Linked DNA regions of Drosophila melanogaster. The protein of the gene in region 1 interacts with the protein of each later gene in a pairwise test. Each region holds a gene or a part of one and is shown in the gene's direction. Other genes may lie near its edges.

Region 1 (6,817 bases):
TTTTTGGCTGAAGCCAGAGATGGGGTGTTCAAAGTTGAAGAACTTAGGCCTTACTTGCTATATAAAGTAGAATAAAGGAGTCTAACAAAACTAAGATAGCTAGAGCTTACGTAGCTTAATTCTTACTCAAAAATTATGCCCGAGTTGAGAAAGCATACTTTTCACATTGACAAAGTATGCATTACTATATAACTACTTGAACTAATCACAACTAATTAAATTAAATTACTTCCATTAAAATTAAAAACTTCATCCAAATTGTCAATCGCAGAACGAAAGTTAAATATTTTTTGGAAACGTAAAGCTTGTAAATGGTTAATAAAAGCATGTAAATGGTTAATATTTATATTTAAGGCTCTTGAAACAGAGTTATGTTAATAAAATCTATTCTTAATCATTTTGCAATTTAAAGAAAGCTTTCTATGGACGGATGATAATCATGGATGATATTTACGGATTATTAGAGTGAAAATCATTTAATTCGGCTAAATTATGCTTTTTTATGCACATCGGAAAAACGTGACTTTGAAATGTTCATTGTTAAAATGGAAACTCTTTTCGACTCATCTTGCAGTCATATAAACTAAATATTATTTAATTATTTCACCTCTTAAACTTTTGCATTGCTGAAAAATTTCTTAAGTATCGTTTGAAAATGCTAATGAAGCAATATAAAATATTTATTTCTTTATTGCTTATATTTAATATGAAATATAGTTTTAATTGTTCAATGCACAGGAGGTGGATTTGCATTCGTATTTATTTTTCGAGACTTTCTCTCAAAGTGAAAGTTTGCATTTCTTAGCTTTCGCTCTCGATTTCCAATTGCCAAAAATTGTTGCTTATCCGATGGCCACTAAATTCCTAACCGTCACCCACAGCAATTTTACTTATTTAGTCAGCACTTACATAGAACCGCATGTCGCCTAAACAATCAACTCGAGTTATTCTGCGAAAAACGCGTCACAATTACACTGGCGTTTTAAAACGCTGACAAATCGCTGCTCTGCGATCCGCTGCCGTGGTCTCAATGTCAAGGACAAAAACGTAATTAAAGCGTTGGCGCGGCATTGCCAAAGTATTTATAGATGAAGACGAGGACCGGCACAACAGCAAGGCACAACGCTTCGGTTTCGATTCGCTTCGTTTTCCCGGCGACAAGATTTTCCGGCTTCACCGGTTCCACTTCCAACGTCCAATGCCCAATATCCAACGTCTAACATCCAACTTCCAAGTCGCCAGACGCAACCAACTGCGATGAGCAGATTGCAGCTGCTTTGTTTGTCGCTTCCTAAGCTCGGTCTAATTGACAATTATTTGCCGTCCGGGAGCTCCTCGTTCCGAAACCCGTTTGAGCCGCGATACCGCCAAGCTATCTATATCCATATATGCTGCACGAACTTATATATACATATGTTGTATATATCCCATGCTCCCCCGATTTGGGCGCCCCAACTTTTGGTTTCAGGCGCCGCCGAGCGGCAAGTAAAAGTCGTCGTCGACGCTTCGCTGCAGCTGTCTAATGGCATTATAAAATTTATACCTGCCAGCATTACGTTTCGACTTTACATAAATTAATGGCGATTTGCTCTGCGAGTTTGTCGTGTCTCCACTTGGCCAGTTAATCCTGCTAATCCGTATCAAAATCAAGTGCTTGTGACTTGGGAAAACTTCCCAGAGACTCATTCGCAAGGCGGACACCACTTTTTAATGCATTTCCATATATTTTTCATACCTTAATAAGATATTTCTGTCTCATAAGGTATTTACTAACCTTTTCTATCTAGTAGATAAAGGTATAAATAATTTATAATAATTTATAATTGTATAAATAGTAAATGTCGTCCCTTCTTGATTATAAACAGCTACGCTTATTTATTTCAATACAAATATAAATATCGTCAATACTACACTTGTAAAAAGTTGGCTTTAGTTAGGTAAGTTCGTTGCATTGTTAACTAATGATGATTCCAGATCGTTTTCGCCGGGTGAGTCCGCATTTTGGTTGCTTAGTGCAGCTGCTTCACGCTTACGTAGCTACTGGCGTGGCCTCCGTGTCCGTATCCGTATCCGCCATATTGCGCCACATCGTGACCGTAGCCGTAGTCGGCGTCGTAGATATCGCCGTGTCCGTAGCCCTTGTGGTAGACCTGGGGGTGGTGGGCGTGGCCGAGCTTCTTTACCACTGCGTTGAAGCCATTGTGGTCATCGGCGGTGTACTCCACCACTCGGGTGGTGCCATCCGATTCCTTGAGGGAGTAGCTGCCCTTGACCTTGTCGCCATCCCGCGTCTCCCACTGGCTCTTCTGGTCTCCGGTGTGGGCATCCTTGACGCCGTAGTCGAATTGGTACTTGGGATAGTGATGGGGCTCGTGCTTGTCGTATCCGTATCCGTAGCCCGAATGGCCGACACTCGGATAGCCGTGTCCGTAGATGCCACCGTAAGCGCTGACCACATCGTGATCGTATCCGTAGCCCAGGCTCTTGTGGACGGGTCCTTCGTGCTTGGTCACCGAACTGTAGCTGGTGGCGTGTCCACCATGGGGAGCTGCCCAACTGGCTCCCACCAGAAGGGCAAAGAACAGACCTCCGCTAAAGGATTTCATATCGGTCACTTATTCGCTGTTTTCCAATCGGAACTTTGATGATGTCTGCTGGTTCTTGGGGAGCTCACCTAGACTATATATAGCTATCGAAGACTCTGGGGCAATCAACCATCGGGTGGTCATTCTCTTGGCCACACCATTCACCAATCGAGCTAGCTGATTTGATAATTACCTCACTAACTCGTACTTATTATTATTGTTTCGGCCATTGAGCTCTATAGAAAATCGGCACATTTTATTTAAAGTCCAATCCGTTACAATTAAATTCTGCTAGTAATAATTAATAATATCAGATCCAAAAAGTTTTTGTTAGATCGTTCGATGTGTTTGGTATTCAGTCAAAGAGAAGGGAAAAACTAAGGCAAGAACTTATTGCTTAATTTACAAAAATTAATTATGACTGAGAATGTGAACTGATGAAGGCGGCAGCTTTTGCTTGAAGAAATAAGGAAATGCTGTTAAACTAACCAATAAATAAACTTTGTAGTGTTGTACTTTGAAATCCTTATGTAAATATCCAAAGCGAACCTATTTTGCTATAAATAATTATGTGTTTTTCCTAGAAATCTGTTGGCTTCAACATTATATTTATTATATAGTTATTAGTAGTTTTAAAACTTGAACTACAGGATTTCTTTTTATTTAATATGCATGTTATTCCTATAGATAGCGAAACAATTTATGCAAATAAACGTCTTAAAAATAATTAACATCAGATAACGTAGGCTAAATACCAATATGCTTATATTTTCACGCATTTCAAATTTCCGAGCTTAAAGTCTATTAGCCTTGTAAATTATATGCATTAAAAAACACTATCGGTAAGTTAACACCAATTCGGAAGCTCTGGGTGCCCCACAGCAGACCCCCTGGTCAGAAACACCAACCGATTGGACGGTCCGCCCAACGCTGCCCTCCCCTTCTCAGCCCCTTACCGCACCGTCCGTCTCAAGGTCATTTGGAGTGAAGTAGGCGAAAAAGAGGGTCCAACCGTGGAAACGCAGCGAGGCGAGGCGAGGCGGCTATTGCTGAGCAATTTGAAAGCGGGCCACACTTGTTGATTGATTTCTAAGCAACAAAATCGAAAAGCTTTGCGTTTTTCAAGCATTTGAGCGATGTTCACGCCCCGCTTAATGATGATGTTGTTGTTTCTGGCAAGTTTTAATTTGCCAATCGACCGACCGCCCAAGACTATGAATACGAATGGGGAAAAATGAAAATTTGCACAAAAATTCGAAGCATTTTTTATACCCATTTTTGGGGCTCTTACTTTTTTCTAGCCTATTTAGCCCGCAGTCTAAAATGTAATTAATCGATCCATAGAATGGCCAGAAGTATAAAAGCATTGGGCATTGTCTGGTGATTATAACAGTTCCAATCGTGATTTAGGCCAGGCAAGTCAATCAGAAACCAACGAAAATGGCCCACCAATTGAGCATCCTCTGCTGCGCACTTCTGGGAGTGGCTGCTGCTAGCTACATCCCTCATGGTGGATATAGTCACGAACACGGCGTGGGGTACAGCATCCAGACGCATCACGAGGCGCCCAAGCAGTGGCAGGATCACCACCAGGCTCACCACCAATGGGTGGATGTCCCAAAGGCCCATTCATGGGGCACAGTTCAGGATCATCACCACCAGCAGTGGGCTCCAGTCGCTGCGCACGATAGCCACCACCAGTGGAGCCACCACGAGGAACCCAAACACCATCCCAAATACGAATTCAATTACGGGGTGAAGGACACCAAGACCGGCGACATCAAGCAGCAGTGGGAGACCCGCGATGGCGACAAGGTCAAGGGAGGCTACACCATGAAGGAGGCCGACGGACGCACCAGGATCGTTGAGTACACCGCCGACTCCCACAACGGATTCCAGGCAACCGTGAAGCATGTGGGACACGCCAGTCACTTGGAGCACAGCCACTCATATGGCCAGCAATACGGACATGGGCATGGTCATGCCACCAGCTACGTGGATGTCAAACAGGACACCAGCAGCAAATGGGAGGACAAGAGCAACAAGTGGTGGTAGAGGAGCTGACCTAACTGACTGACTGCAAGCGATTCGGACCGACTTAATTATTGTAAATAGAACTACAAAATTGTTAACTTAAATAGTAGGTAAATATATCAAAGTGCAGAAAAAAGCTACAAATCAAACTACTTTACTATTTAAAGTTTTTACAATAGTTCTGAGATTTAAGACCACAACGAACACCGTTTATTAAATGAGAGAAACAACTTACCGATCCAATAATTCTAAGATACATTCGATACGGAGGATGTTGAGGCCTTAGTGTCTTGCAGCCTTTTTGTATTCTAGCTCACATAAGGAGGTTCGGAAGATCTTACGCACATCTTTTCTAAGGACTTTGAAGGCTTCGGCTTGTTCAGAAAAGTCCTTCCAAAAGTTATCATCAGAGTCCGGTAAAGATATGGTAAAGATGGTAAAGATATTCCTGATTTTCACAATTTTTTAATTCATCTACATCGCCGTCGCTGTCGTTACTTAAGTTCCCCTGCTTATTCGACTCGATCTCGATGCCCAGAGTCATTGACTTCGAAACGAATGCCATTGAAAGTTTTTTCGGACCTCCCATTTTTGATATTATTAATCTGCTGAGACAGAGAAACAACGCCTGAGAAATCCTATTTATTGCCTATTTTCCAATTGAGTTGATAAGTAGTAGAAAGCTATAGGTGACCACATAAGATCTTAAAAAGTGCCTAGCCTGGTCAGCTTAAATTTACCATTTGTGTACGTTGAACTAAATTAAAATAATGAGTACAGCAAAACACATGTTATTTTCAAAAAATTTCCACACTTCCCTAATAATTGTATCTATTGTATAACAAAAAGTGTAGAACTTTGTAGCACAGTGTAAAATACATACAACATCTACTTTACAAACATTGCTTCGTACACAGTGTCAAAAATGTCGAAAACTGAGACCCCTGTCGGAAATTTACAGAACTTCGGGTTGCACTGCTTACATCCGGCAAAGCGGTTTGTTACATGCAAGGCAGTTCATTCTGTTAAAATTAAAAACGATAAATATTTTTAACTTTAATTTACTTCCACAATAATTGTCGGAAAACTTTGTATTTCTTTGAATTGTGTATTATTGATACTAAGAGCTTGTGTTTTTGACATCTTGAAAATAATTGTCTTTAAAGCGACCGCGAATAAACTTTGACATCTGGCCCGCACAATGATGGAATGCTGTCCAATGTAAGCCCGAGCATCGTGCCCTCGTCATATAAATTCATCAATTAAACATTAATTTATGCCGTGAAGCAAAGTTTTGCGGTCCCATAAATCTGGGAGGGCTGTTTGCCCAGAACGCAATCGCCGGAGTCGGTGGAAAACCGAGCTGAATGCCTGAGGTCAGGCATCCCGAGGTCCGAAATGATTGAAGTAGCCGCCCCGGGAAAATTCCACTTCCAATGCTCCGAGGATAAGACTGCCACCACAAATGTAAATGATGTTGAAACATTTATTGGTTACAGAGAGAAAATTTCGACGCCGCGATAGGCGACAAACTGTTGACAGTTTGGATCCCGATATGCCAGGGATATGGTCGGATTTATTTGCCGAGCTAGTGGTGCATGTGTACGGAGGATAAGGCGGCGGCAAAGGGCAAAGGTCCTTCTCCGGACCTTTGGCTCATAATTTGCAGCTGCTCCACACACCGACGTCCAGCTTGGGCCCCTTTACTCCCCATCAATTTTTCGCCTTTATATGGTTTCATTAAAAATGCAAATGAGCACTGGAGATTGCAATCGTGGTCGGCAGCCAGGTGGGGTCAACACGAAAAAAAAACCGATAAACAGAAAGGAAAGCTCACACAAAGACCGAAATACAGACGTGAAATTTATGCCAAGGGTTCAGGGACCGAAATTTATTGTTTCTATCGGGTATATCGACTACGAAGCTGCCCTTGTTCTCATCTTCATTTTTGTCATAAAAGTAAAGGAGAAATAGTATGAAGACTAATCAACCAAAAAATTGATATCAGTTTTATTATTATCCCTGCATTTCATTACGAACTGTCTTCATTGAAAGGTTATATTTACATTTATTTTCAGATTTTCCTTGTATTGCCTTTGAGGAATAGATAGTACAATATCAAAACTATTTTTAAATTAATTAAATTTTTGCATCGTATGATTTAATTATTCAAATTGAGTAATTGAGTAATTAGGGGA
Region 2 (8,657 bases), about 11 Mb from region 1:
AGTGACTTACGATGCAGGTGGTTTGTGCTTAAAGGAGAAGCAGGAACTTTTCCACATGCGCGGAGATATGACTGGTGCGGCCGTAGTGGTGGCCACTTGTCGTGCTGTCGCTGGCCTGAGGTTACCGGTAAGTGACTGGATGACCCGATGTTATTCCTTGGATAACCATATATTACCGTTAGGTCAATATTCGTGGACTAATACCCCTGTGCGAGAACGTTATTGGATGCAATTCCTTCCGTCCTGGAGACATGGTGAAATCCATGAATGGCAAGACCATTGAGGTGCAGTGCACCGACCACGAAGATGTTCTAGTGCTGGCGGATGCCCTTCTGTACGGGCAGAACTTCTGTCCGAAGTGCATCATTGACATTGGCACCTGCTCGGGATATATGCGCCAAGCGTTGGATGAGGCTGCCTGTGGGGTGTTTACCAACTCTGAGATCCTTTGGCAGCAGATCAAGCACGCCAGCATGCACACTGGAGACCGCGTGTGGCGTTTCCCCCTGTGGAACTACTACAGCAAGGCGGTGCGTGCCGGTGGACGCAGTGATGTCCAGAACTACGGTATCGGTCGTGGTGGACGTCCTTGCAAAGCTGCCGCTTTCCTTCGTGAATTTGTGCCTTGCGGCCAATGGATGCATATTGTAAGTTTTGTTTTTATTAGTTGTAGGACTTTGATTTGATTTGTGATTTAATCCAGGATGCCACCAACGTGATGATCACACGTGGTGATGAGTTCGAGTATCTGCGAGAGGGCATGGCCGGACGTCCAACAAGGACACTCATCGAGTTTATTGCACAGTCCATATGCAAGGACACAGCTCCAAAGCTTAACAAGTGAACCTTCGAACGGTGTTTAAGTTTAATGAGACGATGCCACACGTTCATCGGTATTCTTTTAACGACTGACCAACCTATGACTTCTTTAACGTTCTGACGTTTATCTAATTGGGACCACGAAATGTTAAAATTAATTCGTTTATTAATGACATACAAATTATAAGTCATGTAAAAAAGTGAAAATGCGTGTACTTATTGGACTTCCTGTAAGGGTGCGTTTCCAAGATTGGGGCTAACTAAAGTATAGTTGATTGCTTGGTTCTTTCAGTTGTTAAACTAACTAGGGGGCTTTGCAAGCATTTGGGCACAAGGATATATTTCTGGAGGAATGCTACGCCAATGATCCGGCATGAGCAATCACAACATTAATGTCAATTGGCGGATAGTTTTGCAAGAGTTTCACATTCGAGGCAAAGTCGTTTTCCAAAATTGCTTCCCTTTGGATTCTGCAAAATTTCATATTAGTTCTTGCTTTATACTAAAGCTAAGTTTACTTACAATATCATTGAACAGCATATTTTTATCAGAAAATCAAATCGCTGTTCGTCCGCAAACACGGAATCCCAAATGCGCAGTACATCTGGCAGTGGAAACTCCTGCGACAGGAGCAGTGTGAGCCACCTGAAGCTGTAATACTGCGGATGCAGCTCTTGGCTCCTGAGTAGCTCGTAAATGCTTAGGTCCTTTGATTTCAGCATATTCGATAGCCTGGCCATCATGAACTTGATGCCGCCTTCTGCGTCGTCTAGTGTTTTAATAAAAAAGTCTCTTATCTCGCTCATCAGGGCGGTAAAACAAAAGAAACAATCAGCCTCAGCGTGGGCGCGATATGTGAGGTCAGGATCGGAGGCCATAACATAGTAAATGGGTCCCACGATTTCGTTCATGCCCTGGACATATCCCTGGCCGGGATTTAGTTTGGCATAGATGAACAAAATGCGTTGCACAACTTCCCAGTGAGCCTCTTGGCCCTCCTCCATGGCGGCATAGTTTTCAACGGAGCGTTTTGTAATCAAATTTATCTATATAGAGCACACATATTCATTAGGTTTGGGGCAGTTCCAGATGGGCTTACTTACTTGCTGCTAAAATCCACACGGTATGCATGAATGAAACAACACATTCTGAGCTTATTGTCTAGCACAATTCCGATCTTGAACTCACCTTTGTCATGCCGAGGCCCTTGCGTTCCACATTCGCCGAACTTAGAACGGCGGGAACCACCCGTTCGTGGAGCCTTCGTCCATGCTCTCCTTTGCTGTGGACCACAATCTCGCAGGGATAATCGGTGGGCTGCTGGAAAAAGGATATGTCCGGGCACAAGCGGCGGACATCCTTGTCGATTTGCAGTAGAAACTCGTTATCATTGAAGAACGTGTTCCACGCGCTTTCGGGTCCCTCGCTCAGCGGATGATCTTGCAGGCCAACGCCCCCCGAATCGACTTTGTCCCCATCTCCTCCGTCTACGCTAGCTCTATTGCTCGAGTGTCCGGGGGGCAGGACTAGCTCCTCGATGAACTGTTTATACAGGGCTCGCTTTTGGGCCAAGGTTGTGGTCCAACTACTGCGCCTAGGCCCCAAATAGCCAAGGAGTAGCTTCCAACTGAGTGCTCGAAAACTCTGCACATCGGGCACACCTGTGGAGTGCTCAGACTTCAAATTTTGAACATTTCAAATGCACTCTTAGCTTTCTACCATTAAATGCCAGTTTCCTGAGTTGTTTCAGGTCAATTAAATCCTGTGGCCCCGCCAAAACATCCTCAAATTCCTTGACTCTGCATTTTGGTTAGAGAAAGTCTTTGTTTACGGAGAAGTTTGGATTAGCTTAGAATAACAGCTTACCGCGCCTTGAAAATAGACATGCTGCGGCTTTATGTGGGCGGGGCTATGCTGAGATCTTGCAGTACCCCTATGTGTAATTAATTAAAGCTTTATCTCAGTTTTATGCTGGGTGAAATCTGCAGGTATAAAACACAACAAAACAATGGGCGTTGCCAGATGGTTCGAGCTCTAATCGATTATTCTCTGCGACTATCGATTTTTGAGTGCATTGGGCGGTAAAATTCAAAGTTTTTAACGATTAAATTTTATAAATAAATCGAAATTTTAAATGGTTTACTGTCCTCGTAAAAATGTATGTAATTACCTTCTGTCTTAATTGTATTGTTCTTTTTAATTAATTAATTGAAAAACTGTTTTTAAGCTGGTTGCCAGATCTTGTAAAGCTGAAGGCGCTATTGTTTAAATTGTAAATGAAAATGATTAAATCATGATTATTAGATATTGCTTGTATGTATTTTCTTTGCTCAATCAAATTTACTAACTGAAACATCAATTAATCCATTCATAATTCTCCGCGTCTCACTATTTCACTGGATTTTGAATGAATAATAATATTCTGTTTTCGCTCATTTTCTCTGATTTTTTCTCCGCTTTTATTTGATTTTTCAATTGCCTACTAGTGCACACACACACGCAGTCGCGAGCAGACGCGTTCGAATCGTAGAATTTAGCGCATATTTCTGAATGTGCGGAGCATTTCTTTTGTTTACTCTAGTCGCTGGCCAGCAATGACGACCAGCAGATCATCGGCGTCCGCGTCATTCAGTCGACCGGCTTTCTGGAAGGTGCCCGGTTACGAATTGCCCACGTCCTATCGTCCACAGCCGACCCCAAAACCGCCGCTCGTACCGCTGCCATCGCCCTGCAGGCGGCGCAGCAGCAGCGGACTGAAGAAGCGCGTCCATTTTGCCGATGAGCAAAACGTGGGGGTAAGTCCAAGTGGCCGAGAAAAGTGGAAGCCCCAACCCCTTTCAAATCGCCCGGCTTGTCAATCATCGCGCGTGTGTTCTTTTCTTATTCGTATTCCAATGTATTTGTGGCCCCAATTCACAACAGGCCGACTCAGAAATCAGTTCAATAACATTTCGCCCCTTGCGGCTCGTAAATTTGTCAAGCCAAATCTAATTAATTGGCCACTGCTGCACTTTTCGGTCAAGTAAAATGGCCCAAAAAAGATGGATGGATCTATATTTCCATTGGCATGACTTTTATACCATTCGCAAGACGTTGGGTGAAGAATTTCGAATGATTTACAATCCGCTCAAGGCTGATCTACAGCAAAAGTCACCGTAAAAACATTACACGAATTCCAATTGAAAATGAAATGAAAACAATTCAAGCCGCAAATAGTAAAAACATTTCAAGAGCCAGCCAAAAAGTGCCGAAATCAGAATGTATAAAATTAAAAATGAAATGGCAAGCCATATATTGTGTATATATTCAGCGAAAAGCCAAAAGGCAGGAAAAGATTTTTCCGCTGTAAACAGTAAAATTGTTGCCAAAATCGAGAGGCAGACAGAATGTTTAATACAAACCAACGTCCTTCAACCGTTGACCCGTTCATATTGCGTATACGTCACGTTGGCCGTAGACTTTTCCATTGACTAATGCATTAAAAATCTAATATGATTTGCTTATTTAAATTGGGCAAGAGTGTCGAATTGGTTGTTGCAGTTGTGCTAGTACCGCCTCAGTAACTAAAACTAATTACACTCTCTCTTGGTTGCCTCATCGTTCGGCAAACAAGTCGGAGAGGAATAAAACACTAATAAAATAGTCGAAAATGTCGAGGAAAAACAGATGCCTAGATACTTGATTTTTATGCTTTTTTGCATCAGGCGAGCTAGCTCATCAAAGCATTCGCCTAGATGATGATATGTGGCATTCATCTCTTCAGGGTCAGCGTGCAACTGGATCAAGTGCTGCCCTAAAATGTGGTCAACGAAATGCAGAATGCCACAAATGCAGGGCACACGTCGAATTAAACAATGGGAACAATGTGGGAAAAGGTTTGAGTTTGTGGTGGCTTGCGGATGCTCTTCGCGATTTGGGTATATATAATAATGAAAATAGTAAAGCTTTAAATACATGGCACACATGCAAGCAATCATGTTTATTAACACTGCGTATGCGTAATTTGATATGCAGCCGCTTATCAAGTATACGCCTAATTATCTTGTGGTAATTATGAGCTTTGCCGAGGTAAATGCTCCTGATGCTTTTTGAATCCACGACATCCGCTCTGAGAAATTCAGAGTGCTCTTAGCGGAAACCCCATTTAACGATTAGGATTCGCCAATCGAATTCATGTTTCTCAGCATGTAGTCGCCGTTGCCGGCGGATATAAGTTGTACATGTATGTACATATGTGTATGTAAGAAACAAACTTGTGGCGCAGTGTACTCTGCTGCCGCTGCTGTTGCTGCAAAAAGGAATACGAATTGTATTTTAAAATTAGTACTTGAGCAGCTTTGCGATCGAACAAAACGCTTAACGGATTGCAATCGCGCGCCGCCTGCGGCTCGGCCAGAAAAGGCCAGAAAAAAAAATAAACAATAAAAAATAAATATATATTTTCGGGATAAACCATCGCTGGATCGGATGAGCGTCTGATCTTCCAGTCTATCTTCAACATCAGGATGAGCCCCAAGCTGCATGAGTTTGCGGTGGTGCTACTGCGCGATGGTCAGGCCACGCCCTGGGGCATTCGTTTGGTGGGCGGCAACGATCTGGACACGCCGCTAATTATCACCAGGGTAAATGGGCGTTATATAACCAGAGAGACTGTCGCCTTGTGGTCGCTTGTGGTCCATTCATCAAAATTGAGCCAGAGAAGAAATGCCTGAGGAAAAGCGATTGGCCTTTGTGCCCCGCATGCCGCTTTGTTCTCAGCGCCCAAATAAACAACAACAAATCAAAATAGCGAAACGGGCACAGCAACAATAAACGCTGCAGCGTTGCCAAAATGCGACGCCAGTAAAACTAATTGAGGCGCAACCGAATAGTCGAAGAAAATTTCCACTTTTCCTACCTACCCCCTTTTCACTGAGCTGCGATGTAAACACACACATTTTGGCGATCATAATTCTGTCTGCATCTATTTAGGCACCCATAAATCTGTGTCAAGGTTGCAACCAGCCCGTTGCACCCTATACTATGTGTGTCTAATGACCTTCCCACCTCCTTTTCCACCCCACCCGTTGCAGGTGCAAGTGGGCAGCCCAGCGCATGGCGAACTTCTAAGAGGCGACATCATCTCGAAGATCGGCGAGTACGACGCACGCGACCTGAGTCATGCGGATGCACAGCAGCTGTTCCGCGGCGCTGGCAACGAGATCCGCCTGGTGGTGCACAGGTGAGCCAGGAAATCCGTGTATCTGCATCAAAGATACCAATCAGTTCCGTATGTTTAACATCAATTTCTTCTACGAGTGTCAAGTGTATTGAGTAAAGAGAACACCTTCATTTTAGTTTTCTGTTTTTTAAACAGGGCTTTTATCATCATAAAAGTTAGTTGATTATAGTCATAGTATAAAAAACTTAACTTAAGTTTTACTCCATTGCCAAAAGGAAACCTTCGTCTTGGATCAATTTGCACTAAGAAACGTTAGGAACTGATTTTTCTTTTGTATGGTCTGTGATATGACAAATATTAATAATTCTAAATTGCAGGGACAACAAAATCGCCTACACGCAGGGTGCAACTCAGGAGGCAGGTCCTGGATCTCGGAGCAACTCCACTTTGCCGCCGGTCACTCCGGATCTGATGCCCCACCGCGGTCCGTCGCCCTTTTTGCCCGGACCCAGCCACTTTGAGAGGGCCCTCCAGTTGCCGGTGGACACGTTGCCGCAGACCGTGTTTCCCCAGCTGAACTCATCCGGTGGCTATGAGGTGCCATCGACTGTGTTCTCACCCAAGCCAACCAGGGACCATCAACAAGACGTCGATGAGGAGCAGGCGGCCATTGTGAATCAGGTGAGATATTTAAATGTTTTTTTTATGGATGATCCCATTGTGTGTTGAAAAACATTTATCCCGAATGGTATGCTGCGAGTACTGAGATTTTGATAAATCCTTTAGCAATTTTTAAAAATTTTGGATAAAGCTAGTTGCAACTAATAATTGAATATATTCATCATAGATTATTTTACAATCTAATATCTAGGACTGCATCTCATACAGTTATTTTTATGTGAGTTGGTATCTTTTGGATCTATAAATATAACAACAAGGTTGTAATAATATCCAATATTTTCATATGCATAATTTTGTAGTTGCCCGTTGCATACTTTTCGGGAATTAAATTAAAAAATGTGTGTAAAATGAATGTGGTAAAATATTTTCCGCGATGTCAATCGAAAATACCTACGTAAATTGTTTACCACAATGCTAAATGTTTGAACCAACTGGGTTCTATTTGTTGTTCATTTCCATTGTCAGTGTATGTAGATTTTTAAAATGTTCATGTAAAACGCTTTCGAAAATGTAGAAAACAGTTCGTTTTTGTAATTTGAATACACTCGAACGATGACGTCAGCACATAACAATGTTGTTGGTCAAGGTTCCATCGCTTACATACGCTATATATAGACTTCGGAGCGAGGATGCGGGGTGCTAAACAGGAAAAGGCTCGGTGACGCAGTGCGCAGGTGGAAATTGGCTGGGAATCAAAGAAAAACAAGTCAGAATCTCTTACAGAGAACTAGCCCGCCCCCAAAACTCGGCGAAAAATGCCAAGAGCCAAAAACGCAAATAAACAAGCGTCTATTTTCCGAACTATTTCTGTGCCAGGTGAGTGGGGGTGCACGGCGCGGATTTTGATCCACTGTCCGTCCAAAACCTGTGATGCCCCGTGGCAAGGCCACTCAGAACACCTCCCTTCTCACTCCATATGTCCCATTATCCTCGGATGACGCTGCTAATGAATCAAGACACTTGCCAAGGTCGCAATTTGATGTTTGGCAGTGCGGCACCGAAATAAAATCAAGGTGCCTACCTACCTACATGTTTTGATGTTTGACGATTTGTCATACGAAGGTGTCAGAAAATTGTCTCGGGGAAAAGTTCCAGAACAGGTGACCTCCCCACGATGATGGGAGTTGGTCTATTCTCAGCATTATAGTATTGCGAGGGGTTATTGTACTTTGCCTTAACTAATTTATGGTTAATATGTACCTTGAATGCGTTCTATTTGTGTTCGTTAATTTCTCTTTGTTAGAGGCGCGGAACGCACAAAAAACCATCAGTCGGATTGTTTATTGATCGTTTTGTTTTAAACAAGCGCGGGTGCACCAAGAAAAATTCCATTGGTGTGCTGAGAATGTAGCTGATATGTTTTAGAAATTATTAATATTGCAACAAGGTTATGAGAATTATGTTAAGTATATATATATTATTATGAGATATTCTCATAAAAAATATATTTTTTTTTTTTGCTTTCTGTAAATCATTATTTTTCTCCAAGTGCATCACATAGTCAAACGAACTGCAGCCTTCGCAGTAGGGAACATATTTAGCACATGATTCCGTGTAAGTTATGCGTTCCTTGGTTTCTCCATCGAACTTGAGACTTTTCCAACGCCTTTCAAGGCCAATTACACCTGCTCGTGTGTTTTTGGATCAGTCAAAATCAACATCAAATGATATGCCCAATGCCCTGTTCCAATGCCAATTGCTTATGACAGCCAAGAAAACTCAGCATGCCAATGCCAATATGGTTTTGAGATTTACGAACTGGGATCGGTATCTTTGGAACTGTCAGAATTGGTTGACAAATCTGCGATTTGGAAATGCTAAGTGACAGTGCAATTTGGCAATTTGGCGAAAGCAAACTGAGCAAATCAATAATTTAACAGCAGATTTGCGAAATATTTTTATATTCACATTTATGTTGCTGCAGTGGGGCGAAACAATAACCTCGAGTGCGATAAATATTTGTGCCTAATTTTCGAAATACGAAAAAAGTGCTATG

The links. The genes of interacting proteins can lie anywhere in the genome.
Region 2: the proteins of Cpr76Ba (region 1) and Zasp66 interact in a two-hybrid assay, tested with the Drosophila melanogaster proteins (2 studies listed by BioGRID).

Annotation. Positions count from the first base shown.
Region 1 is NT_037436.4:19,515,484-19,522,300, reverse strand, and holds Cpr76Ba (cuticular protein 76Ba), read left to right. Parts: upstream 1-3,968; 5' UTR 3,969-4,025; coding exon 4,026-4,640; 3' UTR 4,641-4,749; downstream 4,750-6,817. Other genes in the region: Cpr76Bc (cuticular protein 76Bc), read right to left, coding at 910-921; Cpr76Bb (cuticular protein 76Bb), read right to left, coding at 2,010-2,606.
Region 2 is NT_037436.4:8,621,070-8,629,726, forward strand, and holds the start of Zasp66 (Z band alternatively spliced PDZ-motif protein 66), read left to right. Parts: upstream 1-3,301; 5' UTR 3,302-3,413; coding exon 3,414-3,614; intron 3,615-5,139; exon of another isoform or gene 5,140-5,324; coding exon of another isoform or gene 5,325-5,441; intron 5,442-5,891; coding exon 5,892-6,040; intron 6,041-6,357; coding exon 6,358-6,661; intron 6,662-8,657. Other genes in the region: S-Lap2 (Sperm-Leucylaminopeptidase 2), read left to right, coding at 1-127, 183-647, 704-844; GAPsec (GTPase activating protein, SECIS-dependent read-through), read right to left, coding at 1,175-1,289, 1,342-1,865, 2,008-2,480, 2,539-2,618, 2,686-2,705.